4 linked regions of the Notamacropus eugenii genome follow. The protein of the gene in region 3 binds, or shares a complex with, the protein of the main gene of each other region. Links are inferred from orthologs where the notes say so. Each region holds a gene or a part of one and is shown on either strand. Other genes may lie near its edges.

The links.
Region 1: the proteins of GNAO1 (region 3) and GALR1 are in contact, whole or in part, in a cryo-EM structure (PDB 7XJJ), measured with the Homo sapiens proteins. The link is inferred for Notamacropus eugenii from reciprocal best matches to the Homo sapiens genes GNAO1 and GALR1. Residues at the interface, in NP_066268.1 of Homo sapiens: Ser264, Asn316, Glu318, Tyr320, Asp337, Asp341, Ile343, Ile344, Ala345, Asn347, Leu348, Arg349, Gly350, Cys351, Gly352, Leu353, Tyr354; in NP_001471.2 of Homo sapiens: Thr70, Arg133, Ala136, Ile137, Ser140, Arg141, His226, Leu227, Leu231, Asn233, Ser235, Lys236, Lys237, Ser238, Ala240, Ser241, Lys244, Thr245, Thr248, Leu306, Ser307, Glu308, Asn309.
Region 2: the proteins of GNAO1 (region 3) and C5AR1 are in contact, whole or in part, in a cryo-EM structure (PDB 8JZP), measured with the Homo sapiens proteins. The link is inferred for Notamacropus eugenii from reciprocal best matches to the Homo sapiens genes GNAO1 and C5AR1. Residues at the interface, in NP_066268.1 of Homo sapiens: Ala31, Lys32, Lys193, Asn194, Leu195, Glu318, Tyr320, Phe336, Thr340, Asp341, Ile343, Ile344, Ala345, Asn347, Leu348, Arg349, Gly350, Cys351, Gly352, Leu353, Tyr354; in NP_001727.2 of Homo sapiens: Asn71, Phe75, Arg134, Leu137, Val138, Pro141, Ile142, Gln145, Ile225, Thr229, Arg233, Ala234, Thr235, Arg236, Ser237, Lys239, Thr240, Val243, Val244, Ala303, Gln305, Phe307.
Region 4: the proteins of GNAO1 (region 3) and HRH3 are in contact, whole or in part, in a cryo-EM structure (PDB 8YN7), measured with the Homo sapiens proteins. The link is inferred for Notamacropus eugenii from reciprocal best matches to the Homo sapiens genes GNAO1 and HRH3. Residues at the interface, in NP_066268.1 of Homo sapiens: Ile28, Ala31, Lys32, Asp33, Val34, Lys193, Asn194, Leu195, Asn312, Pro315, Asn316, Lys317, Glu318, Ile319, Tyr320, Phe336, Thr340, Asp341, Ile343, Ile344, Ala345, Asn347, Leu348, Arg349, Gly350, Cys351, Gly352, Leu353, Tyr354; in NP_009163.2 of Homo sapiens: Asn69, Asp131, Arg132, Ser135, Val136, Ala139, Val140, Tyr142, Arg143, Ala144, Gly147, Ile221, Ile225, Arg228, Arg232, Thr345, Phe348, Arg349, Arg352, Val356, Leu360, Cys415, His416, His417.

The regions. Positions count from the first base shown.
Region 1 is NC_092875.1:205,221,612-205,228,869, reverse strand, and holds the start of GALR1 (galanin receptor type 1), read left to right. Parts: upstream 1-4,251; 5' UTR 4,252-5,282; coding exon 5,283-5,969; intron 5,970-7,258. UniProt on the Homo sapiens protein: Receptor for the hormone galanin. The activity of this receptor is mediated by G proteins that inhibit adenylate cyclase activity.
Region 2 is NC_092876.1:29,287,267-29,295,135, reverse strand, and holds the start of C5AR1 (C5a anaphylatoxin chemotactic receptor 1), read right to left. Parts: upstream 3,011-7,869; 5' UTR 2,923-3,010; coding exon 2,913-2,922; intron 1-2,912.
Region 3 is NC_092872.1:473,622,758-473,629,605, reverse strand, and holds the start of GNAO1 (guanine nucleotide-binding protein G(o) subunit alpha), read right to left. Parts: upstream 3,010-6,848; 5' UTR 1,914-3,009; coding exon 1,796-1,913; intron 1,432-1,795; coding exon 1,389-1,431; intron 1-1,388. UniProt on the Homo sapiens protein: Guanine nucleotide-binding proteins (G proteins) function as transducers downstream of G protein-coupled receptors (GPCRs) in numerous signaling cascades.
Region 4 is NC_092872.1:501,065,773-501,073,703, reverse strand, and holds the start of HRH3 (histamine H3 receptor), read right to left. Parts: upstream 3,015-7,931; 5' UTR 2,703-3,014; coding exon 2,462-2,702; intron 1-2,461. UniProt on the Homo sapiens protein: The H3 subclass of histamine receptors could mediate the histamine signals in CNS and peripheral nervous system. Signals through the inhibition of adenylate cyclase and displays high constitutive activity (spontaneous activity in the absence of agonist).

The sequences.
Region 1 (7,258 bases), on a different chromosome or scaffold from region 3:
TAAGACTAACTATATTTCCCTCCATCCTATCCTGTCCCCCATTACTTCTATTCTCTTTTGATCCTGTCCCTCCCCATGAGTGTCGACCTCAAATTGCTCCCTCCTCCCCATGTCCTCCCTTCCATCATCCCCCCCACCCTGCTTATCCCCTTATCCCCCACTCTCCTGTATTGTAAGATAGGTTTTCATACCAAAATGAGTGTGCATTTTATTCCTTCCTTTAGTGGAATGTGATGAGAGTAAGCTTCATGTTTTTCTCTCACCTCCCCTCTTTATCCCTCCACTAATAAGTCTTTTGCTTGCCTCTTTTATGAGAGATAATTTGCCCCATTCCATTTCTCCCTTTCTCCTCCCAATATATTTCTCTCTCATTGCTTGATTTCATTTTTTTAAGATATGATCCCATCCTCTTCAATTCACTCTGTGCACTCTGTCTCTATGTGTGTGTGCGTGTATGCATGTGTGTGTGTGTAATCCCACCCAGTACCCAGATACTGAAAAGTTTCAAGAGTTACAAATATTGTCTTTCCATGTAGGAATATAAACAGTTCAACTTTAGTAAGTCCCTTATGACTTCTCTTTGCTGTTCACGTTTTCATGCTTCTCTTCATTCTTGTGTTTGAAAGTCAAATTTTCTTTTCAGCTCTGGTCTTTTTATCAAGAATGCTTGAAAGTCCTCTATTTCATTGAAAGACCAATTTTCCCCCTGAAGTATTATACTCAGTTTTGCTGGGTAGGTGATTCTTGGTTTTAGTCCTAGTTCCTTTGACTTCTGGAATATCCTATTCCATGCCCTTCGATCCCTTAATGTAGAAGCTGCTAGATCTTGTGTTATCCTGATTGTATTTCCACAATACTTGAATTGCTTCTTTCTAACTGCTTGCAATATTTTCTCCTTGACGAAAGCTACACTTTCAAAGAAGAGTAATGCACCAAAGTGAAATACCAAATGTTGGATAATTATTACTTCAACTCAATAGCATTCCTCCTAGACCCCCTTCTTAGAGATTTTCACTTTGCTTCTTTTCAAAGCTTGACATTTCTTAATCACCTAGCTGAATGACCAGCATCACAAAAGATTTTGTGCAGATATTAAATTTTTTTTTAAAGAAATCATTACTTAGAAGATCAGGTATGACAATTTGCTGGTCCTTAGCAATGCTTTGGGAATACTGCTAACTCAAATAGGTTACTCAATAGATATTAATGCAGAGTGTATGGCTTTTTAACTACTTATTTGAACAGGGAAGGAAAAGAATGTAACCTTACTGATTTCAGACACCTATGAATTAAAATCTAATAGATCTCTATATATCTTCTCTAAAGTTTTGTTAGGATAGAATACATAGAGATCTATCTAATTTTAATAATCCTAATTACTATAGAACATGGTCACATGGCCATATTCTACAGCAATTAAATTTTTTTAGTATAATAACTTTTGCTGTCTTACTGTGCTATAGGAGTCATTCAATAACTAGTAATTAAAAATAACAAATGAGTATTTGAGAAAGAAAATAAGAATAAGCCTGTTAAAAGCACAAAATTTGAACTAGCAGAGCTTCTGGGCTAGTTAAACATTTTAGAAGGACAAAGAAGTTGCTCATACATGATATCAAATATTGAGATATAGTCAGTTCTCCGGATGTTTCTAAATATCGGATGGTTTGGTATCTTATAGAACAAAAAAAGGGAAAAAATGTTAAGGATCTGTTAAACATAGGTTGTAGTACAATAGTAGGACTACTGGATTTTGGAGCTACAAGATCTAAGTTTACATTTTAGTTCTGCTACTTACTCCCTGTGTGACTGTGGACAAGTTGCTTAATATCTTTTGGGCTCAGTTTGTCATCTGTAAAATGTCAGAACAGATAGAGTGTCCGGCTTGGAGTCAGGAAGTCCTGAGTTCATATGGGCCTCTGACACTTATTAGCTGTGAGACCCAGGGCAAATAAACTGTTTACCTCAGTTTCCTCATCAGTAAAATGGGGATAATAATAGAACCTACCTTACAGGATTGTTATGAGGATCAAATTGTAACTTGCTTAGCTCTATGCCTGGCTCATAGTAAGTTCTACATAAATGTTAGCTATTATTACTAAAATAAAGTTGATTAGGTGGCCTCTAAGGCCCTTTCTAGCTCTATTAGAAATCATTTTGAAAGTTATCATTTATAGAAGCTATACTTTGTAATCAATCAAAGTTTGCTATAGAATCAGTGAAAGACAAGCTTTAGTAGGTCCTTCATTACTTAGTCATTTCAGAGGTATCTGACTCTTCATTACCCCTTTTTGGGGTTTTCTTGGCAGAGATATTGGAGTGGTTTGCCATTTTCTTCTCCAACTCATTTTATAGATGAGGAATTTGAGGCAAACACAGTTAAGTGAACAACTAGTAAGTGTATGTGGCCAGATTTAAACTCATAAAGAGGACTCTTCCTGATTCTAAGCCTATTGCTAAGTCCATGGCACCACCTCACTGCCCAAGCAAGTCCCAACAAGTTGTAAGTACATCAGATGCAGTTACATAGGGGTTGAGAGTCTGATCAGTAGAAGATCAATCACCAAGTGAATCAATTTTTGGCCATGACAATTCTCTTAAGATTGTCTATTAAGGCATGGGAGAGGGGAGATTTTAGAGATAAGGGTAGAAAGATGGGGGAAGCTGGGAAGTTTGTAGTGTGAATTCATATTGTTTAATGCATATATTTGAAGGCACTAAAGAAGTTACTTTGTGTGTCAATTCTGCAAGAAAGTACATTAGTTCATTTAAAAATATTTGCCCAAAATTTAGTGACTATATAGAAGATGATCGTAAGCTTTTGCATGTCTTATTATCCATTAATTTAAAACATTTTGGTAAGGATGGTGATTAAGCAGTGAGATTAGTATAAAATGTGTTATTTGAGGATTAGCTGAAAGAACTAAGTATATTTATCCCGAAGAGAAGATTTAAGAGGAATATGAAAGTTGTCTTTAAATAATTGAATGGTTTCCAAATGGAAAAGTGGCAAGACCCTGCTTATGCCATTCCTCTGAGATAATTCTAAATCTTTCCAATATATAGCTTGTTTTTACATAGTTTGCATAATGTTTCACCTATTAGGGAACCCCTTGAGAGAAGCAACGAGTTTTGTCTGTTTATTTTTTGCTTTTGCCTTTGTATCTCCAGTGCTTCCTGAGCTCAGTGCCTGGCACAAAACAGGTACTTAATAAATCCTTGTTGACTTGACTTGACAAGTGGGTAGAAGCTGCAAGGAAGCAGATTTTGACTTTCATAAGGAAGATCTCCCTATAATTAGAGCTGTCCAAAATGTAATTCCAGGCCTTGGAAGTTTCTGAATTCCTTGAAACTGAACTTCTTTAAATGGGGAACCTTCTGTTAGGCTTGTCATAGCTGGCATATGTACTTCAGATATAGATTGTAACTAGATGAACTCTAGTCTAATACAATTCTAATATTGTCACTTTGGAGATATAGGCTTAAATTACATTTTAGTTAAAATTTCATATGTGAGATATAGTAAGCCTTGTATTTTTAAAATGTAGTACTGTAATAAAATCAAATATAGTATAATATTTGAAAATAAAACAATGAATATAGTCATGCAAATTCACTCATACCCACGTGCTGAGGTTTAGTAGAAAGCAGTATATGCTAAAGAAAATCAGGAAGGAGTCCTGAGAAGAATTCAATATTTTGCTTTTTTCCTTTCAGATTTTTGTTTTGTTTTTTTTTAAAATCGAAGGGCATTTGTGAATATGTTTTAACAGTCAATTAAGGAGTTATCTTGTCTATGAAGTAGTAAGGCATGAATACCGGGGTGGGAGTGGGAGGAATCAGTTCAAATTTTCTGGCAATGGAAGAAATTTCACGGGCAAAGTTTTTTTTTTTTTTTTTAACAGAAGAGACAGGGTGATGTAAATGAGAAAAGTATAGAGACTATAAATTAGTAGACCTAGGTTCCACTCCGAGGATTGTCACTAAATAATAATCTGCATTTGCACGGTACCATAAGGTTTGCAAATTGATTCTTTAAGTACATTATCTCATTAGAGCCTCTCAGTAACTAAGTGAGGTCAGTGCCTCAGGTGTTATCCTCATTTTACAGACGAAATTGAAGCTGAGAACCCAAAAGAAAAAAGGGCAGCCGTGAGAAAGGAGAGAGGGAGCCTAGGACTCCGCTGGTGCTATTTGCCTTTCATTGGGTGTGGGAGGTATAAAGGGGGAGGGGGGAAGGGAGAGAGGAAGGAAGGAAGGAGGGGAGGGAAAATAGTGGGTTCGTTGGCTGCTTCCTCTGGCTGGAACTGAGACATTCATGTCCCCCACATCACTTGCAGTGGGGAAAGGGGAGTGGAGAGAGTCCATTTTAGCTGACCGTTCACCCTCCTATTAGTCTCTTAAACCAGGAGGGGGAAAAAGAGGGAAAGAGCCCAGTTTGGGGGAGCAGCAAGCTGGAATCTCAGAGAGCTCCCGGGATTCGGGGGCTGCTACTGGGCAGCTCCCAGAGTCGGTGTGCAGCCGCTGCTCAAGCAGCGCCATCTCTCCGCCTGTCCTCCGCCTGCGGCTGCTGCAGCTCCTGAGGGCAAAGCGGGACCGAACAGAAAGAAGCAACAGGTTCACCTTCGCGCAACCTCTATTCAGGGAGAAGAAAAAGACAAAGCTTTGCAGGACCCTGAAAAAAGAATGAGACAGAGCCTGGACCTCAGCTGCAGGACCCGGTAGAGTGGCACGGAGTCACCCGAGGAATTCCTCGCTATCAGATCCCTCCAACTCCACACTAAGTGGCTGCCCGAGCACCAGACAGCGGATAGGATACATCTCAGTCCCTAGAATCCTTCCTCCTCTGCCGGCTTTTTCCACTCTAGTCCACGTCTAGCTTTTGGATCGCTTCAACTCTATTAGGGGCAAAGTTCTTATTTTTAGAAGTGCAGAAACTGTCGCTGCTGCTGTCAGGAGTTCGTCAGTAGGAAAAAATGTCATCCTATTAGCCTGCCTCTGCGTACTCATTCAGTCAGTCGACAAGCATTTCTTAAACTCCTAATATGTGGTTGGCACTGGGCTGATCTCTGGGGAAAGAAAAGAAAGGCAAATACAGCCTAGGTACTACCGTCAGTTCTCTCCACGTTGGAGGGACTCAACCTTCCTAGAAAGAACTTCCTACTGTTTCCGAGGCTTAGCCAAGCCCCTCCACGTCCTTCACCCTCTCCTCCAGCCAAGGTCTCTTCTCCTCGTTTCCAGCCGAGGTGCTCCCTTCTGTTCTCTGGGCTCAAACTTAGACCATGGAGCCCCACCTCGCTATGGAAAATCAGAGTGAAGGAGCTGAGGAGGGCTGGAATGGGACTCAACCGGAGCTGACAGATCGGGATCTCAGACCCCTTTTCGGTCTTGGCATCGAGAATTTCATCACACTGGTGGTGTTCGGGATGATTTTTGCCATGGGAGTGTTGGGCAACACTCTGGTGATCACAGTTTTGGCGCGTAGTAAGCCAGGAAAACCCCGCAGCACCACAAACTTATTCATCCTTAACCTGAGCGTAGCTGACCTGGCATATCTGCTTTTCTGCATTCCTTTCCAGGCCACCGTGTACGCGCTGCCCACCTGGGTACTGGGCGCCTTCATCTGCAAGTTCACCCACTACTTCTTCACCGTGTCCATGCTGGTCAGCATCTTCACCCTCTCTGCCATGTCCGTGGACCGCTACGTTGCTATTGTCCACTCGAGGCGCTCTTCCTCCTTGCGGGTCTCCCGTAACGCTCTGGTGGGCATGGGGGTCATCTGGGCTCTCTCGATCATTATGGCCTCTCCCGTGGCTTACCACCAGCGCCTTTTCCACCGAGAAATCAGCAACCAGACCTTCTGTTGGGAACAGTGGCCCAACAAGCAGCACAAGAAGATCTACGTGGTCTGCACCTTCGTCTTCGGGTACCTGCTCCCCTTGCTGCTGATCTCCTTCTGCTACGCTAAGGTGGGAGGTGGAGCGTGGTGGGGCCAGGACCGGAGTGGGGTGAAGGGAAGTACAGGAAAAGAGGGAAGAAGAAGCTGGGGTGGAGGGAGAGGAGACGGTAGGAAGCTTGACTGGATAGCATGGGTTTGCTTTTATTCTGTGTTCTTTCCCATTATCACTTTGTCCACAGATCCTGTCTCTCATCTCTGTCCTACTTGACCGTTGTTTTCCTTGCCCAAGAATTCTCTAAGCTAGAGGTACCACCTTTGTATGAGCTTTGATGAATATTTTAGTACTTAAATCTTAGCCTAGACTGAGGAAACTATACCAGAGTCCTCCTACAAAAGTTTGCTTTCTGCTGCTGCAAAGGTTTCTATTCTATAAAACCTTTCATTGCTTTGATAAGTGAGCGGTGCAAGAGTCCCAAACGTGCTCAATATGCAGATCTCTCCTCTCCTTCCCTCACTCAAAACTCCTTCGCGTTTTGTAATGCTTTAAAACGTTCTTTCCCCTAGTTTCAGTGTCTGATTATCACTAGCTTCACTTTGGGGGAACGTGTGTGGTGTGAGATACACATCAAACAAGCTGGAGAGCTGAAAACTATTTTCCATCAAATGCAAACACAGAGCGTCGGAAACGTTAAAACTGCTTGCTGCAGAGATTTTTGAAGGCAGGATCGACATTTTTTTTTCGTATTTCTTTGTTTTGTTTCTTTTGCAGTCCCAGAGCAAAAGCCCAATTAGTGTTTCCATCATGAAACAATTGTGCTGTTGACAGACAACGGCATAATCAAAACAAGTGGTAGGACGGAGACTGATCTCTGTTAACCGTATTGAAACGACAAGAATGTCTCTTGAGTCACCGGAAAATCCTGTCTTGCCTTGCTTGCTCCCTCACTGAGAGGATTCAGTGACAAAAGAATTCGGCCCCTGTTGGGGTCTATAGAAAGGGTGCATAATTGTATTGGTCGCCAGCCCACCATCTTCTGCTGTGGGAACTGGATTCAGATTCCATCGGGCTTCTAGATTGAAAGAAGCCAAGGGGGACTTAGGAGAGTTTATAGGCTTTATTTCGTTCACAGATTGAGAATGAGAACCAAGGAGGTAAAGTGTTTCTTTTCAGAACTCTAAACGGAGTCAGAGATTCCAGAGAACTGTCTTCTGCCCTCTAAGGGTCATTCCAACTCTCAATCACACTGTAATCCTACTGGTGAACTACTTATGGACTCTTCCTTTGCTGTCCAGTAATCCATACTCTGAGCACCCAACCACCTAAAAGGCCTGGCTAGGAGAAGAGTACAGATTTGAGAT
Region 2 (7,869 bases), on a different chromosome or scaffold from region 3:
ACCCATACAGCCACCACCCAACACCTTGGACCAATGACCCCCAAATAGGTCTCCTTGACCCAAGTCTCTCCCATTCCTTCTCTGCTCAGCTACCAAAGTGATTTCCTACAGTACAGATCTGACTATGTCACCGTCCCCAAAGTCCATTCAAAAAACTTCAGTGACTCCCTAGTTCCTCCAGAATCAAAAATTACTCTTCTGTTTGGCATTTTTCAATACCTTTGTCCACTCATCCCCGACACACCTCTCCTGTTTTATTGCTCTTCTCCTCCATAAACATTATGTGCTGCCATGTTGGACCTATTACTGTCCCTTATAACTTGTCCTCCCTCTCCAGTCCCTATACCTTTGCAATGGCTGTACACCATTCAGGGAATGCACTCACTCACTCAATTAGCATTTATTAAGCTCCTGCTACGTGCAAGGCACTGCGCTAAATGCTCTGGATATAAAAAGAGGCAAAACCCCGTCCTTGCTCTCAACCAGCTTACAATCTGATGGGGGGAGAGGGAAGTAACATGCAGACAAATACACACAAAGCAAGCTATATACGGGATAAATAGGAAATAATCAACAGAAGCACTGGAATTAAGAGAGGTCAGGAACAGCTTCCTGTAGAAGACAGAATTTCTCTCCAAACTCCTACTTCCCTCAAGACTCAGCTCAAGCTCCCTTTTCCATGTGAATTCTTTCCTGATCTGCACCAAAAAAAAAAAATCAACTTGTAATCACTTTACTTCTATACCTAGGCATGGCCAGACTATAAGCTTCTCGAGGTCAGGAAATGCTTCCACCTTAGTTTTTGCTTAGCCAACATCAGCTCCTTAATAAGTTCATCTTGGTTGATTGACTTGGGGGAAGGAACACAGAACTCTTTGTGTGTTGGACCCAATAAGTAACTTCATGGCTAGCACCATACATACCCCAATGATGGCACTGAAAAGAGAAGTGAGACCTAGCTGTGCACAAATATTCCTTTGCAGCAAGAACTACAGACAACTTTTGTCTAATCAATGGAAAATTGCCAAATTGATCATGTTATGTTTCAAGGAAGGGAATGTTATTGTGCTACCATTATCACAGCTGGCATTCCTATAGAGCCTTCTATGTGTTAAGTGCTTTACAAATATTCTCTCATTTGAGACCCACAACAACCCTAGGAGGTTGGTGTTGTTGTTATTTCTATTTTACAGTTGAGGAAACTGAGGTCAAGTGACTTGCCCAGAGGTCTGAGGTGGGATTTGAGCCCGTGTCTTCTTCCAGATACCAGGCCTAATGTTCCATCCACTCTGCCATCTAGTGGCCTGGTGAAGTAGAACACTCCACCTCCAGGTACATAATGTTCCAGTAACGGGACACACACACACACACACACACACACACACACACACACACAGAAAACATGGAAACAAGGATGATATGGGTGCTGCTATGTGAACATCAATACTCACATCTTTGGGGGGAGGGTTAACTAACTGCGAATAGCAGAAAACTTGCAGAGGAAACCTGCCATCTGATAAAGGGCTGGACTGGGTTGGAGTCAGGAAGACCTGAGTTCGAACCTCTCTTCTGAGCCTGACTGGCTGTGAAAGTGCAGGATAAAGGTGTCCCCCCCCCCCCCCGCCCCGAGTCATAGACAGTACCAGTTTCTTTGTAGGAAGGAGATATGAGGCAGGAAGGTTGATGAAATTACAGCTCCTTGCATAACCATCTCCTTCTTTCCACCCTCCCCTTCCCCCTGCCTCGAAAGCCCCCTATACTCCGTTTTCCCCTTTCTACAGCCAAGCACCATCTTGTCGGGCTGTTTCGTCTTTCAGGTTATTGCTGTGTTATTTAATTTAGTTTTTTTGTAGTCGGGGTTAGTGATCAGGGTTAGGTCATGGATGGAGCCCATACCTATGAATTCAGCCCAGGAAGGAAATTCTGGTAAAGAGGTTTACCTCAACAAGGCAGCTCAGCAACACCAATCTGAGGGATACCCCAGGGGATTTGAGAGCTGAAGGGACTTTGCCAGGGCCACACACCACTAGGTATCACCGACAAAGGTGGTCCTCTAACCACTAAGCCATGCTATTTTTCTTCACTTCTTATACTGTTGTTTCCATATTTGAATATCTACACTCGTCAGTGGAAATTAAAATGTGTTTTTAAAAAGAGAGGCAGAGAGAAGGAACCAAGAAAGACAGAGAAAGAGAATGGAAATGGAATGACCGAAATGGAGGGGAGAATGTATGACATGGGAGAGACTGGAGGGCAAAGACATGGTGAGACTGACAGGCAGAAATAGAAGCATCCAAGGAAGGAAGGAAGGAAGACTAGGAGCTGGGAGGAGACTGAGGGACAGACACAGGGATCCTGGGGGATAAAAAGGGGGACAGGGGGAGGGAGGAACACAGAAAGGGGTAACAGGACCAGAGGATGGAGATGAAGGGGCTAAAACAGAGGAAGACTGAGAGGGAAAAGTAAGGTGAGGGTCAGAGAAATGAGAGACAGAAACAAGGAGATAGAGAGGGAAGAGGGGACAATGAAGGGCATAGATAAAGGGAGACAGAAATGGGAGAGAGACAGATATAAAGGGAAGACTGAGGGACAGAGATGGGGAGGCTGAAGGGACAGAGAGAGTAGGAACTAAGGGGCAAAGAGAAGAGACTGAAGGGAAAGAGGACAGAAAGGAAGGATTGAACAGAGAGAGGGGAGACAGGGACAGAGCAGGAAAACTGAAGTGACAAAAGGGGATACTGAGGGACAGAGAAAGGAGACGAAGGGATATGGTTAGAGCGGTATTGAAAAACAGAAAGGGAGAGTGAGAGACATAACTGAAAGACAGAGAAAAGTGAAGACAGTGACAAAGGCAGGGAGGAGACTGAAGAAAGGGAGGGATTACAGAGGAGCAGAGAGAAGGGAAAACTTACTTGGCTCCATCTCGGTCCAGTAACGGTGGCTCTGAGCTCAGCTCTTCCTTTTTTATCAACTGGAGCTGCTCTGGTTTATAAGTGAGGGAGGGCAGAAAAGGGGGAGAAGAGGAAACACTGGCTTAGCTCCTCCCAAGGGCTCCCCTGATCTCAGATGTCCAGTACCCAAAAGAGCCTGAGAGCTCCCTCTCTGGCTGTTGTAGTAGAAGTGTAGCTGACCCTTGCCAGTGACCCAGAACTTGAGCCACTGGGCACATCTCCTTCCCCATGGGATGGCAGTGGTGGTAACTAAAGAGTCAAACTAGGAAGAGTTCTGGAAGACAAGAAGCTGTGAACCAGATTTTAAAAACAGGGGAGGACCAGGGTGTGGGAGGTAGGCTAAGCTGACAAAAGGTAAAGGAGCTTTGTAAAGAAGGAGAATGGGCATCAAAATGCCAGTGTTCTCTTGACAACTATACATGGAGGGGATGGGTGCAGCTTTATCTGCCTTAGAGACAAAAATCTCCATTCTCTAGGAATCTCAGCTAGATCCAGCTGTCCCCTAATAGCTTTTTTTTAAAATAAGTAATATTTTGGGGCAGAGCCAAGATGGCAGATTAAAAGCAGGGACTTCCTTGAGCTCTCCCCCAAACTCCTCCAAATACCTATAAAAATGACTCCAAATAAATTCTAGAGCAGTAGAAGCCACAAAATGACAGAGTGAAACAAATCTCCAGCCGAAGACAACCTGGAAGGTCAACAGGAAAGGTCTATTGTATTGGGCTGGGAGAGGAGCACTGTCCAGCTTGGACCACACCAGCACAGACAGGCCAGAGCAGGCCTCAGGAGAATGAATCACTGACAGCTTCAGCGTTTTCCAGATTTCTCAATCCCAAAGACAACTTCTCAACATCAAAGACAATTTAGAAGGTAAGTAGGAAAAGTCTGTCAGACCTGTGTGAGAGGAGCGTAGTCAGGTCCCAGCCCCAGGGTGATGGCAGTGGCAGCAGCAGCAGCAGGGCATGCATTGGGAGCTCTCAGGCTCACAGATGGTGGGGAAATTGAGTGACTGATCAGAAGGGGATTTCAGGGATCTTTTTTGCTGGTACTGAGGAAGGATTCTCTTGTTTTGCCTGTGCTTTGATCTGGGTCACAATCCTGGGTGGTGCTCCTGGGGTGAGGAGGAGCACTGGCATGGCAGACCTTGTGGTGGCTGTGGGGAGGAGAATCCTCCTCACAGTTCCAATGCAGAAAAGAGTGCTTGAAGTCACTCACAGACCAGAGCACAAGCCAAAAGAGAAGTAAACACCTCTCCTTTGATCACACCACCTTGGAAGAGCTGAAAATTTACAGGTCCCTATCTCTGAAAACAGCTGCACAAAACCCCTGAAGCTTGGGACTTGGTGTACACCACCACCACCACTACCACCCCAAAGCAGAGTCCTGCCTTGACAAAGAGATTAAAAAGTCAAGTAATTGGCTTGGAAAATGAGCAAACAGAGGGGGGAAAATCTGACTATAGAATCTTACTTTGGTGACAAGGAAGATCAAAACATACAACCAGAAGAAGACAGTGAAGTCAAAGCTCCTACATCCAAAGCCTCTAAGAAAAATATGAATTGGTCACAGGCCATGGAAGAGCTCAAAAAGAATTTTGAAAATCAAGTAAGAGAAGTAGAGGAAAAATTGGGAAGAAAAATGAGATGAAAAATCAAGAAAATCATGAAAAACAAGTCAACAGTTTGCTTTTAAAGGAGACCCCTAAAAATGCTGAAGAAAGTAACAACTTAAAAAATAGACTAACCCAGATGGCAAAAGAGGTTCAAAAAGCCAAGGAGGAGAAAAATGCCTTAGAAAACAGAATTGGCCAAATGGAAAAGGAGTTCCAAAAGTTCACTGAAGAAAATGATTCCTTAATAATTAGAATGAAGCAAATGGAAGCTAATGATTTTTTGAGAAATCAAGAAATTGCAAAGAATTAAAAGAATGAAAAAATAGAGGACAATGTGAAATATCTCATTGGAAAAACAACTGACTTGGAAAATAGATCCAGGATAAATAATTTTAAAATTATTGGACTACCTGAAAGCCATGATCAAAAGAAGAACCTAGACATAATCTTTCAAGAAATTATCAAGGAAAATTTCCTTGATATTCTGGAACCACAAGGTTAAATAGAAACTGAAAGAATCCACCAAGCACCTCCTGAAAGAGATCCCAAAAAGAAAAATTCCTAAGGAATATTGTAGCCAAATTCCAGAGTTCCCAGGTATATTGATAATGCATTTTTGCTTATTGTTAATACAATTTTGCCTCTTAATGGAAAGATTTTCCCCATCCATTAATGGACCTGGGAAGATTTGTAGCAAAGTCCACACCTTTCGTTAATGAGGCACTAATTCTTTAGGATTGTGATGTCCTCTGAGTACTAAGTACTCTGAGATGAGGTTTTTTTGGGGGGCTTACTGATTAGAAGTGTGTGTGTGGCCAGATGAGACTCTGGGAAGCTAAGGAGTCCCTGGCTTTGAAAACCCAGATATTGGTGCTTCTCTCTCTGGTAACTATGTATGTATGTAATAATCAGATAGCTGGATCTGTCTGTTGATCTATGATGTATGTATTGCTTATGTCAGACAGTTGGAAGCATGTCTGTTGATTTTGATTTCTCTGTATTTTCTCTGAAGTTCAGGGTGTTGGCTTTTCCCCCCTGAACTAAGTGAATGATACATGTGCTTGATTAAAGTGGTTGTTGACCCCTCAAAAGTTACTTTCCTTTTATAAAAGCAAATCAAAGAACCTGTGATAGCAGGCCCTCCTGTGTTTGTTGGGGTGCTTTCTGTTACACCAGGTCAAGGAGAAAATATTGCAAGCAGCCAGAAAGAAACAATTTCAATATTGTGGAAACAATCAGGATAACATGAGCTTCTACATTAAGGGATTGGAGGGCTTGGAATATGATATTCTGGAGGTCAAAGGAGCTAGGATTAAAACCAAGAATCACCTACTCAGCAAAACTGAGTATAATACTTCAGGGGAAAAAATGGATATTCAATGAAATAGAGGACTTTAAAGCATTCTTGATGAAAAGACCAGAGCTGATTAAAAAATCTGACTTTCAAATATAAGAATCAAAAGAAGCATGAAAAGGTAGATAGGAAATAGAAATCATAAGGGACTTACTGAAGTTGAACTGTTTACATTGTTACATGGAAAGATGATATTTGTAACTCATGAGATTTTTTTCAATATTAGGATGGTTGGAGGGTACACACATACACACACATGCACACATATGCATATGTGTATATATGTACATATTTGTGTATGTGTACATATGTAATGTATACATATACATATATAGACATATATATAGACAGAGGGAACAGGGTGAGTTGAATGTGAAGGGATGATATCTAAAAAATAAAATTAAGGAATGAGAGAGGGATATATTGGGAGAAGGAGAAAGGGAGAGATAGAATATAATAGGGGAAATTATCTCACATAAAAGATCAATAAAAAGCTTTTAAAAAGGGGAATGAGTGAACCTTACTCATCAGATTTCACTTAAGGAGGGAATAACAAACACACTCAATTGGATATGAAAATCCATCTTACCCTACAATGAAGTAAGGGGAAAGGTAATAAGAGAGGGGGAGTAATAAAAGGAAGGGCAAATGAAAGGAAGAGATAATCAGAAGCAAACATTTTTGAAAAGGGACAGTGTCAAAGGAGAAAACAGAAAAAATGGAGGGCAGGATAGGATGGAGGGAAATACAGTCTTTCTCAACTGTTATGGAAGTGTTTTGAATAACTACACATGTATAGCCTATATCGAATTGCTTGCCCTCTCAGTGGGGATGGGTGGGGAGGGAGGGAAGAAGGGAGAGAATTTGGAACTGAAAATTTTAAAAACAAATGTTAAAAATTTTTACATGCAACTGAGAAATAAGACATACAGGCAATGGGATATAGAAATCTGTATAGCCCTACAAGAAAATAGAGGGAAAAGGGAGGAAAGAAGCAGGGGATGGTAATAGAAGGAAGGGCAATTTGGGGGAAGGGGTAATCAGAATATATGCTGTCTTGGAGTGGACAGAGAAGAGAGATGGGGGAAATTTTTAACTCAAAATCTTGTGGAAGTGAATGCTGAAAACTAAAAATAAATGAATCACTAGAAAAAATAGGCAGTTTTTAAAATTTGTATTTTAAGTTTAGTTACTTAGAAAAATTCAGTTGCCTTTGCTTCTTTCATTTGATGAATAAAAAATAACTTCCTTTAGGACTGAATATTCAATAAACGTTCATTGTAAAAATAAAAAATACAATTTCCTTGGTGTCCAGCGTGTAATCAATGGCATGTAGTGCTTACACCTGTGTTAGGAATGGCTACTTGGGGCTGGGAGAGACCCTCCAGAGACTGCACACACGCATAATTTGGGCATGCCAGAGGTGAGTGATGTGGTTCGTGAGCAACCCTGGGACCCAGGGAGGTTCAGCGATTTTCCTCAAGCCAAAATCGTCACATATCGCGGGTGACTTTTCTCATCAGATGAGGGTAAGGGGTAGACAGTCAATATGCCCCCAACGCCACCCCCTTCTCTCGTCCCCTACCATTTAAAACAATCGCAGCGCCCTTCCCTCGGGTATCCTTTAACTTCTTTTGCCAGAGGAGCCTGTGATAGTACAGGTCTAGATAGGAGGGCGGGGGGAGGGGGAGGAAGGAGGGTACTCGGTGAGGAGGGGGGAAGGGCAGTCTCCCTGTGGGCTTCCAGCCTCCTCATCCTCCAGGAAGCTGGAGGCAATCCCAGCCTTCCATCTTCATAGGCAGAAAATGAGCCCGTTTCTTGTCTCACTTGTTGAACAGCAACCTCCGTAAACTATTCGACCTGTTTCTTCTGCAAAAGTTGAGATGGGGCTGGGCCAAATGAGCTCAGTTATATCCCGCAGTTTATTGTACCGCAAGGTTTCCTCCCCACTT
Region 3 (6,848 bases):
GAAATCGCAAACAGGCTTCCTCCCTCACCCACCTCCCCAAGAAAGAGATTTTTATTTTCCATTGTTTTCCTGCGGGATGCAATTACTTCAGCTATTCTGTCAAGTTGAAAAATAATCATTTTTGTTTACTGCATAGCAACCCCTAATTAGGAACCTTGTGTATATGTAAAGGTGTCACAGCAAACCGACGTGGAAGCCTCACTAAACGGTCTCAAACGAACTCCAAATGGGGAGGATAACGGAAGTAGCAAAGACACAAGATCGGTGGTGGAGAATGGAGCACAAAAATCCCTGCACCTACACCTTCTAAGTCCCCTCCCCCAAATCTAAAACAAACCTGCCTTAGAACTCCCCAAGAAACGTTGGGTATCAAGAACAAGGAACAATAAAATGTGTATATTCAGAAAGAGGGTGAGACTTTTATGGAGATTATAAGATTTTCTTTCACTTAAAAATAATATCAATAAAAGAAAACATTTCTATCAATAGTCAAAATTCCAGTTAGTCTAATTAAAGACTGACCCCTTGAGTAGAAGGAGATTTGGGGTGGCTGCAAGGTTTGTTTTAAATCTGCCTTGTAGGTAGATTTAAATATAACATACCTTATTCAGCAAACAAATAATGTAAGTGCCATGGAGTTAGCCCATGTCAAGAGATCAAACATCAGGGAGGGTGGGGGCAGAGAGGAAAGAGCTGAGAGATAGAAAGCTGACATTAAGCTTAATTGACACAGGTCTTTTTGATGGCTCTGCCCTGGTTACATCTGTGCCATTCACATCAGCCTGGAAAGCCACCCACTCCTCTTCTCTCATCTTGAGCCCCCCACCCCATGGGAGTATATGTGAATGTATGTGTCCATGGGAGAGAGACAGAAGGCTAGAGATAGAGAAACCCCCACTACCTCCAATTCAGCACCAAAACCATGAACAGCAGACACTTGATTTTCCACCCAGAGCAAAAGACAAGGTCCCCTCCCCTCCATCTTCTAGGCAAGCCAGAAATAAATCCCTGCCACAGGTGCAGCTGTGAGAAGGGGAGGAGAGAGAAGAGTGGAGGATGGGGTTGGGGAGGGAGGGGATAGGGAAAAACACCCCACCAGTAGGAAATAACATTCACAATATTGCCAATAGTGATGATGCTCTGATCAATATGGCGGACATTGTCATTCACACAACTACAGCCCCCACCATCATCCTTTCTCCTCACCCCTCCCTAAAAACATCTCTCCTGGGAGATGGGGTGGAGGGAAGAGAAACACCTAAGGTGGGAAGAGAGATGGAGGGGGTGTCAAAGTGTTATGTGTTTGTGGACAAGAATTACAAACGGGGCCTAAAGGAGAGCTGGAAGAAAGGGAAAAAAATTAAAATCCCAATACAATAGGGACTTACTTCATTTGCTTCACAATGGTGCTTTTGCCTGATTCTCCAGCCCCTGTAGGGACAGACAAAAAAAAAAAAAGGAAAAAAGCTAGTCAGTGTCAGGCTAGAAGAACTGGGAGATTACACTGGGAGGAGGAAGGGAGCAGCTGGACTGAAGGATGCAGGGGATCAGCTTTTTTGGCAGAAGATTCGTGTGTGTGCAATGGCTTGGTTATCTTGTTGCAAATCTAAGAAGGGAAAGGTCTCTCTGGACTCAGGACAAGTCTTCCTGAACACAGAATAAGGGAGAAGGGTGAAGAAAGGGGTGAAATACAGAGGTGGCGGTGGGGGCGTTGTTTGGAATAGGGTGCAGCCTGGCTGTTCTGGGGGTCTGGCGGAGAGGGGTGGGGGTGAGGAAGTGGCCAAGGCTCTCTTACCCAGCAAGAGTAATTTCACGTCTTTGGCGGCGCTGATGCCATCCTCTTTGAGGTTTTTCTCAATCGCTTTGCTCCTCTCCAAGGCGGCTCTCTCCTCTGCGCTCAATGTACATCCCATCGTGACACCCAAAACAGCCCGCACGCCTCGGCTGGCACGGTTCCCCTGCTCGGCTTGACCCCCCACCCCACCCCCCCAGAAATATTTATTTCTGTCCTTTAAAAAAAATCGCTAATTTTCTTTCCTTCTTTCTTGTATTTTTTTTCTTTTAAAAAGAAATCAAGTTTCCCAAACACAATAAAAATGCAGCCCCTCCCCCCAAAAATTCGCAAGGTGGATTTCAGGCTACTGCTCCCTTTTCCGGTCACCTGCAGGAGGAGGCTGGAATCGGGGCTGGGGTCGGGGCTGGGGTGGTGAGCTCTAGAGACAGGGTTGCGGGTCTCTCCCAGCTGCTGGCGAGCAACGCATCCGAAAAGAGGCAACCACCGCCGGGGCTCCGGAGCAGCGGCGGCGGCGGGGGAAGCAGCGGCGGCGGCAGCAGCAGCGGCGGCAGCGCGAGGCTGCGGACTCCGAGGAGTATTACAAAAAATTAAAAATAAAAATAAAAATAAAGGGCAGAGGCGCTCGATGGAGCCAGGAGCCGGAGGAGGGTGGGGATGGGGATGGGGATGGGGGGGCAGCCCGGGTGGATCCTTCGGTAGAGAGGATTATTAGGACGGTGATTAGTATTGCATCCCCTCCCCTTCTCTTTCTTCTTTTTTTTCCTTTTCCCTCTTCTTTGGGGGGCTTTGCAAGCGGTGGGGAAGGGGGGAAGGGGGGGAAAGGTTTCTAGCGGGCGGTGGCGGCGGCGACAGCGCTGGCTCCCAGAGATCGCATCGTTCAGTGGATCCTAATGGAGAGAGAGAGAGAGCGAGAGGAGAGAGAAGAGAGGAGAGGGAAAAAAAAAGAAGGGGGAAAGAGAGCCTGGGAGGGAGGGGGGGATGAGAGGGAGGGGGGAGGGAAGGAAAAGAGCGGAGTGCGCGAGTGCGCCAGGGGTTCTAGCCCACACCGCACAGGCTCGCCGGCCTCAATGACGTCAGCAGGGACGCGCGCCTGCTCGCCCTGGGACTCGAGAGCGGGCGGCTTCGCCGGGCCCTGGGGAGGGGGCGCGAGCGAGCGAGAAAGCGCGCGCGCGTGTGCGCGCGAGGACTCAGGAGAGCTCTCCTCGCCATCCCCATCCCCGACGTTGTCGGGAGAAGACGGAGGGCGGAGCCTGGGGTGCAGGCGGGCGCGCGCGCGCGGCCTCGGCTCCCCCGCCCCGCCCTTCCCTCTCCTCGTTCTCAATGGGAGCGCTGCAGCGCAGAGGCAGTGTAGCAAGGTGTAGGGAGGGGGTCGGGAGGATGGAGGGGGCAGGGGGAGGCTGGCGAGGCGTGCGCGCCTCCTCCCTCCTCTCACCTCCTCTGCCCCCTCGGCTCCTCTGCATTCTCCTTCGCTTCCTCCGCTCCTTGTCCGCAGTCGATGTGCTAGCGGAGGCCCAGCCACATCCCCCAAATGGAGGCCCTTTTTAGGGCCCAAACGACTTTCTTTCGCGGGGTAGTAGCTGAAAGTTTTCCATTATTTTCTGGTCAGGACGTGGCTTTAGTCGAAGGCTCCGGGCCGTCTGAAGGAAGCCCAAGAGCCACGAGGACCTCGGGGCCATCGCGTCCAGTCCCTTGTTTTGTGGATGAGAAAACCAAGGCCCGGAGGGACCTCCGGGACCAAGATCCTTATTTGACAGATGAGAACACTGAGTCCCGGTGCCACCCAGTCCCAACCCCTTGTTTTATCGTTAAAGAAACAGGTCCAGAGGGACCCGAGAGACCATTTAGTCCAAATCCCTTTCCCTCCTTATTTTACAGGTGAGGAAACTGAGGCACAGAGAGATGAAGCGGTTTAGGATCACAGAGCTGGAATTCAAACCTAAGCCCTCTGATTTACAGTTCATACAGCACTGCTTGCTGGAAGGAACCTCTGATCATCTAATTAAGCCTTTAGAAGGAAAGTTAGGTCCAGAGTGGGTAAGTAAGGCTTGAATTGTCAGAAGGAGAAGGGATCTTGGATCATAGATTTCAGCTCATTTCTTACTGATGGGAAAACTGAGGTCTAGAAAGAAGAGACTTGCTGGAGTTCTGTGGCAGAGCAGACTCTGGAACCCAGGTTCTCCTGGCTCCCAGTCCAGACTTCTTTCCATTACAAGTTGCTAAGAAGGTAAAGACATTCTTCCGCATAAGACATTGAGAACATCAACAAACATTTATTAATGCTAATATATATATATATATATATATATATATATATATATTACACTTGGAATAGTACAAGATTTGAATAATACAGAATTCCTGCCCTCAAGGAATTTCTAGTCTAACTTAATGCTACATACCCAGAAAATATTTTAATGACTTTAAAAATGACCCCTTTTGATTTAACCATTTGGTTTGGGTGGAGTGGATTTAATTTAGAAAAATTCAGGGAACTTAAGTCTTCCCCCCAAAAGGAGGTTTTTTGATGTAGATTCTTAGTGAAGAAAAAAGCTACTCTCCTTGTAATGGCTTCCTCCTTTAATCAACTCTTTCTTCCTTTCATTTTTCTCACCTGATAGAGATTGAATAATAGGCCAATCCATCAGAATAGTTAATTGAGCCAATGTTGTACAAACGTGAATATTCTCCAAAATAACTGGGCTTGTTTTCTGAAGAAGCTCATTCTACATGTAAAACTGCTTTTAATAATTAGTTCAAAGAGATAGCCTCTCCAGAAGAGACAAATTTCTCTTGGAGAACTAAACCATCAGGAAAGGTTTCAGGGGGAGTATAAATTAGTGGAAACCTTGCCTAGAACCTTTGGGCATCATCATGGTTCTAAAAACAAATCCATTGGCTTCATTGCAATAATAAAAGCAGATACTCCTGTTTTGGAAATATAAACACTGATAACCAAAATAAAGGTCTGCACCCAGAAGAAAATACTTGTGTTTGGGACTTGAAGAATTCTAGAATATTGGCTTAGATATTGTGGAAGATTTATGAAAGGACATGGACAAGAATCACATAGCGTGAGAAGTCATGAATGGATTGTATTGGCAGAGGGAGGGGTTCCTAAATCTATTTGATCTCAGATACATTGGACCATTGAAGTAGATAGATAGATATAGATCTACTGTCTACATCAAAGCAAATATTTCCTAGCACAGGCATATCTTATTTATGAAATGGCTCACATCCTCAAATGCTGTATAACATGTATGTTATTCAAGTTGTATGTAAGTGTATTGCATTAATGGGGAGGTAAGGCTATTCAATAAAGAATTCTATGGTAAATCCTTTTGTAAAGTGAAGATTTAGACCTTTATTCATCATGTTTGCTTAAAGTGTGAGTACACATGTATAGTTCTGGTCTTCAGAAAAAACCACTAGTCCTCATAGATTATAAATTAGAATTCAATTACACTTCTCTTTAAGAGAGTTTGCTGCCCTCTTCAAAGGATACTAAGGTGGTGGTGCATATATACTAAGCTGGAACCTTTTTTTTAGTACATCTTATGAGAAGAAACTAACTAACCCGTATGGAGATGCATTTTAAGAATCATGGGATCATAGATAGTGCTCAAAAGGACCTCGGAGAATAAGGACTAAAAAATAGGATTCCATTATTCCATTGTGGGAAATGGGAACAGTTTATATTTGAATTAAAGATCTGATTTGCCTCCTGTCACTTATTCATCAACATTATTTCTTGGGAAAGACGTTGGACTGAGAATCAGAAGAGACAGATTCTACTCCAGACTATTCACCAGTTATGGACTTGGAGAAGTTCTTTCCTTCTTTGGGCTTCATTTTGCTTATTTTTAAAATGAAGAGGTTGGACTAGATTGGCCTTTCCCATTCTAAAGGTCTATGATTTTTGTTGTTATTGTTTGAAGTTATAGTGTAAGCCTACGAGAACATCTTGTTGTTCTTAGTCCTTCATACTCTGACGAGAACTAATGATACCATGATATTGGGGTCAAGGTACAGTGTGTTCAGCTATGGCTGATTAGTCCAATATGAGCTTGGAAGGCTCTGCCATAGGTTGGGTACAAATAATCCATTTGAACATTTGGTAGGAAGATGTCTCTAGATTCGTGCATCTTACATTTTCCTTTGTGCTACTTCATAGAACACAGCATCTTCTTTGATTCAGGCATGCCATGCTGGGTAGTTCTATGCCAGAATCTCCCACGTCTCATTATGAATACTGAAGTTCTTCAGAGGCACCTTGAGAGTGTCCTTGTACCACTTCTTCTGACCTTGTTGTACCGACTTCCTAGTTGTATGCCTGTGAAGCCTAGACATTTGAATTGTTTTAGGAAGAGTCTGAAGATTATCAGGCAGGATAAAGTAGTGAACACTGAGGTCTTCTGTCAAGGTGTATTCTGTCAAGGTATTCAAACTGTGCTACAGAGAGTGGAGTTCTGATAGGCTGACCATGTAGTCCAAATGCCAAACCCACACCTACCTAAAAGACTATTTTTTGGAGAACTCAAGGCAAGAGCTCTTGAGAACATCCAATTTTCATGAAAACCCCAAAATATCCCCAGCTTCCATGATCCTTCATTCCTCATCCTAAAGCTGGTAGAATAGAAACTTGTGTTTTGAGACTTGATTTGGACTTTTTTTAGGGGATGTTTTCATATGAATAAATATGTTTGATTGACATATTTTCTTTTTGTACGGTCATCCTACTATCTTAATTTAAAGTACTTGGTCCTTATAAAATACTATACCCATGGAACACTTTATAAAATAACATGCTGCATATATTTTGTATAATATATAATATTTGTAAAATAACCCCAGAGGAGCTCACAGCCCAGAAATGGGGTACAGGCATACCTTGTTATATTGTAGTTTGCAGATATTGCCTTTTTTTTTTTTTTGTTACAAATTGAAGGTTTGTGGCATCCTTGAATCAACCAAGTTAATTGGTTCCATTCTTCCAACAGCCTGTTATCACATCCTGTCACTGTCACATTTTGGTAATTCTTGTAATATTTCA
Region 4 (7,931 bases), about 27 Mb from region 3:
GATTCAGAAGGTTTGGGTTTGAAACTTAGCTATGATGCATATTGCCTTATGTGACCATGGGCCAGTGATTTAACTCCTTTGAGCCCAAGTCTTTTCCTTTGTAAAATGGGGAATTTTTTCCATATTTCACAGGGTTGTTGTGGGAGGAAATGCTTTGTAAATCTTAAAATGCTATGAAAAATATGAGTTTTATTCATGCCACTCTACAGGGTCAGGCAGCCACAGGATTCCCAGGACTTCTTCAGCCTGATACCTGGTAGCCTCTTTTCCATTTTTATACTAATGTATAAAGGAAAGGCCTCTGAATTCAGGACTCAACCACAGAATGGCCAGGGGAACAAGGTTTGAGCCAGTCATCTAGCAGCTAAACAAGTCAGAAAGGAAATTCCAAATCCCAGAACAAACTAGGGACCCAGATTGTTTGATAAATGGTTGTTGCCCTCTGCTGGGGGAGGGGTTGAAGCTTCAGGCCTTGAAGAGCTGAAGTAGATTCTGCTTTACAGTACGTTCAGCTCAGTTTTTCCAGGTCCTTGAGATTGGCTGGAGGTTGGAGAAGATACAAAAGGGAGGGAAGCAGGAGAAATTCTTTCTAGCCTACATTTTCCCTCTCAGGGAAAATTAAAGGATAAAATGACCACCTCTTGCTGTATCAATGGGAAAAAATACCATTCCAGTAGCTGAGAATCTATAAGTCCCTCATCGCTGGCATTTAGCCACCACTAAGTTGCTTGGCCCCTTTCCTGCTACATTTATCCCATGGCAATAGGTGATAACCATATGGCTGTGGCAGCCTTCAGATCACACCAAGTGTCTTGGCAGGTTTGATGCATCTAGTTCCGTCCTGCAAGTGGGGCTCTCAACAGAAAAGCTTTGCTCCTCCCCCCAAACATTAATCCGTGCAAGCCCCTCCCTTCCAGCCAGTAGGAGCAACAGACTCAAGCTCCTCAGACTCCTACACCAGCTGGAGTTTCTCCCTAAACCCATTGTCTCCGTGAACAGCAGGGGGAGGAGAATTGTCTCCTCTGTCAGCCAGTCGCAAATATTTCTTTCTCACCATTCCCAGAAAGGCACCTCCATGCCTTTCCCCCCTGTCTCCTGCTCCTGGAAGCATCCCTTTCTCCACTTTCTCTGATTACTTTGCAAAGTTTTCATTGATTTCCTCTTCTGAGACTTGCCCCTTCCCCCACTTCCCCTTCTTACCCAATCGGACCAACCATCAAGAACAGTGCCCTCCTTCTGTTTTTTAAAACATGTGGACAAAGAATTTTTTTTTTTCTAGGGCACTGGTTTCGGTGGAGACATAAAGCATTTGCACCTGCTAATGACTGTGGAGAGAACCACTGTATTTGAATTCCGGAGACCGGAGTTCTAATTCCTGCTTACTAGTTAGGTGACCTTGGGCAAGTCACTTCATCTTTTCAAGTTTCAGATTCCCCCTCTGCAATATGAAGATAATAATGTATACTACCTACTTCAGAGGATTGCGAGGATCAAAAGATGAAGCCCTTTTTAAGCCTATATAAATGTCAAACATTACACAACTTGCTACTGTATCCCTTCCCCCCCTTCCTTGCCTCGGGCCTTGGAGCTCAAAGCCTCTCCCTCCCCATCACTTCCTCCTCTGTAGGAGCAGAGAAATGTTAGTACGGCACCCTCGACCCCGACCCCAATTTTCGGGCAACTTCAAGAGGAGGAAAGGTGAGAGAAGCATCTATGCAGCCCTCCCTCCCACGCCCCGCCCCCATTCAGAAGCAAAGGTCGGGGATATTTTTCCCAGTGACAAGCACACACATTCTATATCCCAAGAAATGGAAGAGATCCGGGGTAGGACGACCCATGACTAGGGAACTGAAGCACAATTCCACTGTTTTAGTTCCTCTAGTTACTGGAGTGGAGGGGGCACTAAGTCGTCCTCCCTCCCACATAAGTCTGTTGTTTCTGATTCCTAAATTCCTTTAAGTTTTCTCGCTTTTTCTCCCAGCAGGAAAGAAGAGGAACCAGCACGGGGAACCTCCGCCTACATCTTCCCATCCAGGCCCTTCTGTCCCAAATTTCCAGAACCCCCGGTCTTCTCCTCTTCCACTGTCCTACTCAATTTCACCTAGGTAGTGTATAAGACTCAGCACAGAGGACTCCGGGAAGACTTAGTGAGTTTTACCTCAGGGACCCTAGCTACTATGGTTTCCCTTTCTCCAGTTGCCCAATGTCCTTTGCTCCCAAGGGTCCTATAAACCTGCCGCTGGTACCTCTCTCCCATGAGGCCCCAGCCTCAATGCTACCCCTAACCTTCTTCTTGCACCAGGGTCCAAGGCCACACACATAGCCCGAGCCCTGCACCCAGCGTCTCACACCCTTCCCACAGCAGCCTCAGCTCGAAGAAGCCCGCTCCCCCTGAGGTCTTCAGCTGCCGCCGGTGGGTCACTTGCCCCACTCCCCCTACCCCAGGGTGGGTGTACTTTACCTACTAGGAAATCAGAGATGGCCAAATTGAGAAGGAAGAAGTTGTTCTGCGTGCGGAGGCTGGAGTCCACCACGAAGGCCAGCATGACCAGAGCGTTGCCCACCACGGTTGCCACGATCAGCAGCGCCATCAGCACAGCCAAGACCACGGTCCAGGCGGCAGAGAAGCCGGGGGCTGCAGCCTCTCCAGCACTCGGTCCCCAAGACACATTGAGGGCCCCGTCGGGCAGGGCGCGTTCCATGGCAAGCCGAGAGAGCGCCACCTCATGCACCCCAGCCCCACCGGGCAGAGGGAGGCCCGGCCTCGAAGGAACAGAACCTACACACCTCTAGGGTATGGGCCAGTCCACTGAACGCGGCCCAAACGGGGTGGAGGGTGTTGGCAACAGGTGTCTCCAAGGCGCGGTGTCTTGGCGATGCTACACCCTCTTTGGGCTGCTAAGGGCTAAGATTCGGGCTCCGCCTCCCGCCACTTGGTGTCCGCAGCCCCGCCTCGTCTGGCTCCGCAGCCTCTGGCAGAGGTGGGCCAGAGAGGGTCAGGAAGGCTCAGCAATCTAGAGCGAGAGAGGGAGGGGGAAGGGAACCTGAGTGTGCCAGGCACTCCAAGTGGCCAGAGCAGGGTTGGAGAGAGTGATCGTATACCCGGAGCTGCACGCTTCCTCCCCTCCCCCACTAACTGCTGGTCCCTAAGCCTAGAGAAGTACCCCTCCCCCCTCACGGTTTGGCAGAGCAACTAGGGAAGAGACCCTTCACAGCCTGTTGTGTACCAGGCTGAGCACTCTTTCACTGCGTATTCTTGCACTAGGCTAAGAGCCCCCTCGACTGTCTGCATGTGCATCAAGCTGAGCATTCTCCTTACCGTCTGCGTGTGCACGGTGCTGAGGGCCCCCCCTCATTGTCTGAGAGTATATAAGGCTGAGCTTCCCCGCCCCTTACAGTCTGCCACTGCACGAGGCTGAACACTCTTCTCTGTCTGAGGGTGCAAAGAACTGAGGGCCCCCCTCACTGCTCGTGCATCAATCTGAGAGCCCCTCTTACTGTCTGCTGCTGCACCGTGCTATGTTCCCGGTCACTGTCTGCAGGTGCACGGGTCTGAGCTCCCCTTTTACAGTGTTCGGAGGCACCGACCTGAGCTGCACTCACTGCCTGCTGGTGCACCGTGCTGAAAACCCTCCTTACTTCCTATACCCGCGCCAGGCTGAGCGCCCCTTACTACCTGCCCTGGAACTGGGTTGAGCGCTCCCCTCGCCGGCAGCCAGTGCGCTCGGGCGGAGCGCGGAGCAAGAGTGCGCTCTCAGCCTGCTCCCAAGCCCGCAAGCTCACCCCAACCCCCCACCCCCAACTCGTCCCAGCAGCCTCTTCCATTGGCTGCGGCGCGCTGCTCAGGCACGCCGCCCGCCTGGCTCTCCTCTCTTCGCCCCACCCAATAAGCAGAACCAGCCAGAGAGAATAGGGAGGAGCGGAGAGGTCTGGGAACCCTGGACAGCTCCCCACAGTCCTAGTTGGACTTAGGGTAGTAGCTGCCTTCCAAGACTCAGGACCCCAGGAAGACTCAACTGGGCTCGGTTTGCAGGGATTCAGAGTAATACTCTGTCGGAGAATGCCTGTGGGGACCATATGTGTACCCCCTCCTCAAGTTCTCCCTCTGTCTGAGTGCCAGGACGGAAACCCTAGGCCTCTCCCCTAGGGTCCGTGGTTCTGTGACTACGGGTGCACCAGCCCCACCGTCACGCAATGAGAGTACACTGAGGCTTCGCGTCAGGCTATGTTCCTCCCCCAGTCCTTCTCTCACTCCTACCTTCCACCGACTGTGTGTATTTGGGGGAGGCGGGTCAGTCATTGTCTCTTCTCCCATCTTCCATTCTAACTTCCCCCTCACTCCACAACCTGATCCCCAGACAGCCTTCGAAGGAGGTCCGGGAGCCCCAGCTTATCCTGTGTCCTCTCCTGTGTCTCCTATTTCACTCACGTACACTCAGCAGATGGGATCCAGCTGTGACTCCAACAGCTGCATTTGAAGTTGGAGAAGGTGAACAGAGGATTCACTTCTCTTTTTTATTTTTTATTTTTGGTGGGGGATAGGGGTATGAGGAAATCAGTAGTGGTTGCCGGGTAGAATAGAAGGCAGTAGAAGAATAAAGAAGACATGAGATATTTAAAATAGGAAAGATTTTTTTCAGTGTTTTCATTTCTGAGGGGAGAATTACTACCACGAGTGCAGCAAAGTAAGTTAATCCTTGCCTTAGGATCGAAGGTCTGGCTATTGCGAAGACACCCTCACGGAGAGCTCTGATTCTCCCTAGCAGACTCGGGACAGCCTGCTCCTCTGTTTTTACTGTCCAGTGCTTCCTTCTCCAAAGGCTCTGGACCTTCTAGCCCTACAAAGTCCTCAAACTCATACCTGCCTGTTTCTCACCCCCAACTCTGACAGGAAAACCTCCTCAGGCTCCCATAAGGAGTCTAGGAATGAAAGGGAGCTTCTTGTTCCTCTCTGCAGTAGGACCTGGGGGTGTAAAAGGGAGTAACTTCTTCTGGAACTCAGTTTCCTTGTGTACAAGATTGAGCAATTGGAAAGATAATCTCTTCCAAGCTTTACCATTCTATCATGCTCTTGCTCCTTGCTTCCCTCCTCTCACCATTGGAGAGAAACCAAATTTGAGTATGAGGAAGGAGTTGCTGATCTTGACTATAGGATCAGTGGTGGAAGAGTGGGGACCCATTGTCTCCCTCCCCACCCTCATCCCCTCCTACACAGCTATTGGCCCACCTAAGCTGCTCCTATAATGACCCGGATCTTTGGCTGTTCTCCCTTACACAGAGACAGGGCCTGGCCCTGATACTTCCCCAATTCTTTGAGCCTGCTCTTCACACCCCACTGCTTCCTTCAGGATAGGCAACTACACAGAGAAAGACCTGAGGTCATTGCTGGATACCGACAGGTGAGGTCACTGTGAGCTAGTCAACCTCAGGCTTCAGGATTAACCACAGTGATAGGGAGCCAGCCCTCCAGTGCAAAAATGAGGAAACACACCCAGTCCTAGAAAAAATATGGAGGGAGAAGAAAATGTAAGAGTGTGTGGGGAGAGAGAGAGAGAGAGAGAGAGAGAGAGAACTTTGAACCATATACAAGCCAGAGACACACATAAAGACAAGCATGTGCACACTTAAAAACAGAAATACACAAGAGACTGACCAATGCACACAAAATGGATAGGTAAGCAGACTGACTTCTAGAAAGATCAGTACTTAATATGTGGCTTCCCACCCTACTCCTAACCATATGTGATCTGTGTTTATAAAGGGGAAAAATTTAGCTTTTGCTTTTCTCTCATTCTTCTTTCCCCTCTTCTCTGAGCTCCCTCCATCTCCACTCCTTGAACAATCTGACTTCTTCTTTGACAAGACTGTATTGAAGGCATAGCTTTGAGAAGTCACTGAAGGTAGTGGTGGTGAGGACTAAGGGTTAGAGAGTAGAATAGAGGGCTGGGTGAAGGATGAACTGGAGAAGCATCTGGAGGCAAGCCTAGGAACAAGGGCAGCAGGCAGGGGAAGAGGGACAATTTGCCTCAGGAGGAGTGAACAATTCCACAGCTTTCTAAAGGCTCTCACAGCCTGCTTTAGACAACAGAATTGTTCTTTGGGTCTCTGGGATAGTCGATTTGGTTCTCTGAGTTGGGAAAGGTTTCCTGTGTCTGACTTTCACCCTTCTCTGAAGCCTGCACCTCTTCTGTGGGGCCCTGGTAAGCAGAATATGTGGATATTTGGTTTGCCATTCTAGTAGATCATCCCCTTATCCTTTTGGGAAGGGGGAGATAAGACCTTAACTCTGGACCCCTCCATCCTTTATCTCCACCTTTCTTCCCCTTGTTGGGCAATCAGTACTTAATTCTCACAACCCATGCTCTGGACTGGGGTTGGGGAGGTGATAGTGCTGATCTTTTAATTCTTATCAGAAACACAAGGCATTTTTACACAAAATCTCATCAAAAAGTAGTAAGCAGCAGAACTTGGATTTGAAACCTTACTGTCTCCAAACCCAGAACTCTTTCCACTTGGCCATCCTAAAAAGACCTTAGATAGTCATGTTGTCTAATGCACTCATTCTGCAATTAAGGAAATTGAAGAACTAAGAATTTAACTGACTTATCCAATCTCACAAAGCTAGTAAACTGCAGGGCTAGAGAAGTTGAACCTAGGTCCTCTGACTCCAAATCCAATTCTATGTCATTTTTGTCTCCCAACAAGGTTGTAAACTCCTTGTGAGCAAGAATTGTGTCCTCTAGCTATTCCCCTATAGAACCTGGAACAGGGCTATGCACTGTTACAAAATGAGAGATCACAAAAGACAGTGTTCACTTGCATGATTTTGATTATATGTGGTCAGAAGCCAGAGGAGGGGGGAAATAGATTTGAAATGGGGGTAGAGGGGATTTACAGTCTTATTTCACATTACTCCTTCACTCAATCTGTTTTTTTCAATTATCTGACTACTCCAATGTCTTCCCCCATTTCCCCTCTTTCATACCGTCTCCCCACTCAATTCATAAACTCAAGCTATTTCCCATGGCAGTAATGGACTCCCCTTCTCCCTCTTTGAGTACCTATTGCAACCCCTTTCTTCTTTCCAGGCCCCAACTCAGGTGCCTCCAACTCCATGATCATTTCTCCAAGTTCTCGGACAGGAATGGTCTTGTTGTTCAGTCATTTTCAGTTGTGTCTTGACTCTTCATGATCCTACTTGGGGTTTTGTTGGCAAAGATACTGGAGTGGTTATCCATTTCCTTCTCCAGCTCATTTGAGAGATGAAGAAACTGAGTCAAACAAGCTTAAATGATTTGACCTAGGTCATACAGCTAGTAAGCATCTGAGACCAGAGTTGAACTCAGGAAGATGACTTTTCCTGACTCCAAACTTGGCACTCTATCCTCTGTGGCACCTAGCTGCCCTAGTAATGATCTACCCCTTCCCAGTGTTGCCTTCCTCTCTGTTTGACCTCTCCTAAGCATTTGTCACATTAGAATTTCCTCCTCAAATTTTTACAGACCACTTTGTCTGGATCTTTCCTTTGTCTCTATCACATTCTACCTTGTATTATACTTCTTTTCCATACGATATCCTCCTAGAAGACTGTGAGCAACTTGATGGCAGGAACCATGCTACTTAAAAATTTATCTTTTCCTGATTATCATTGAGTCTTGCATGTAATGAGCATTTGATTAATATTTGTTGAATGGGTAAATGTATTTAGGCACATACCTCCTCCCCCACCCTCAGGCCCCAAGAAGACAATGCACTCTCATGGGCAGAGATTGTGCCACTTTTAACTTTTATGTCCTCATGTACAAGGCATGTACAATGCCTTGTGCAAAATAAGTACTAAATCAATGTCTGTCTAATCTAATTTAATTGAATCTTACTTCTAAACATGACTTCAACTCCTGCAAGTGTGCATATATCCTTGGCCCTCTCTG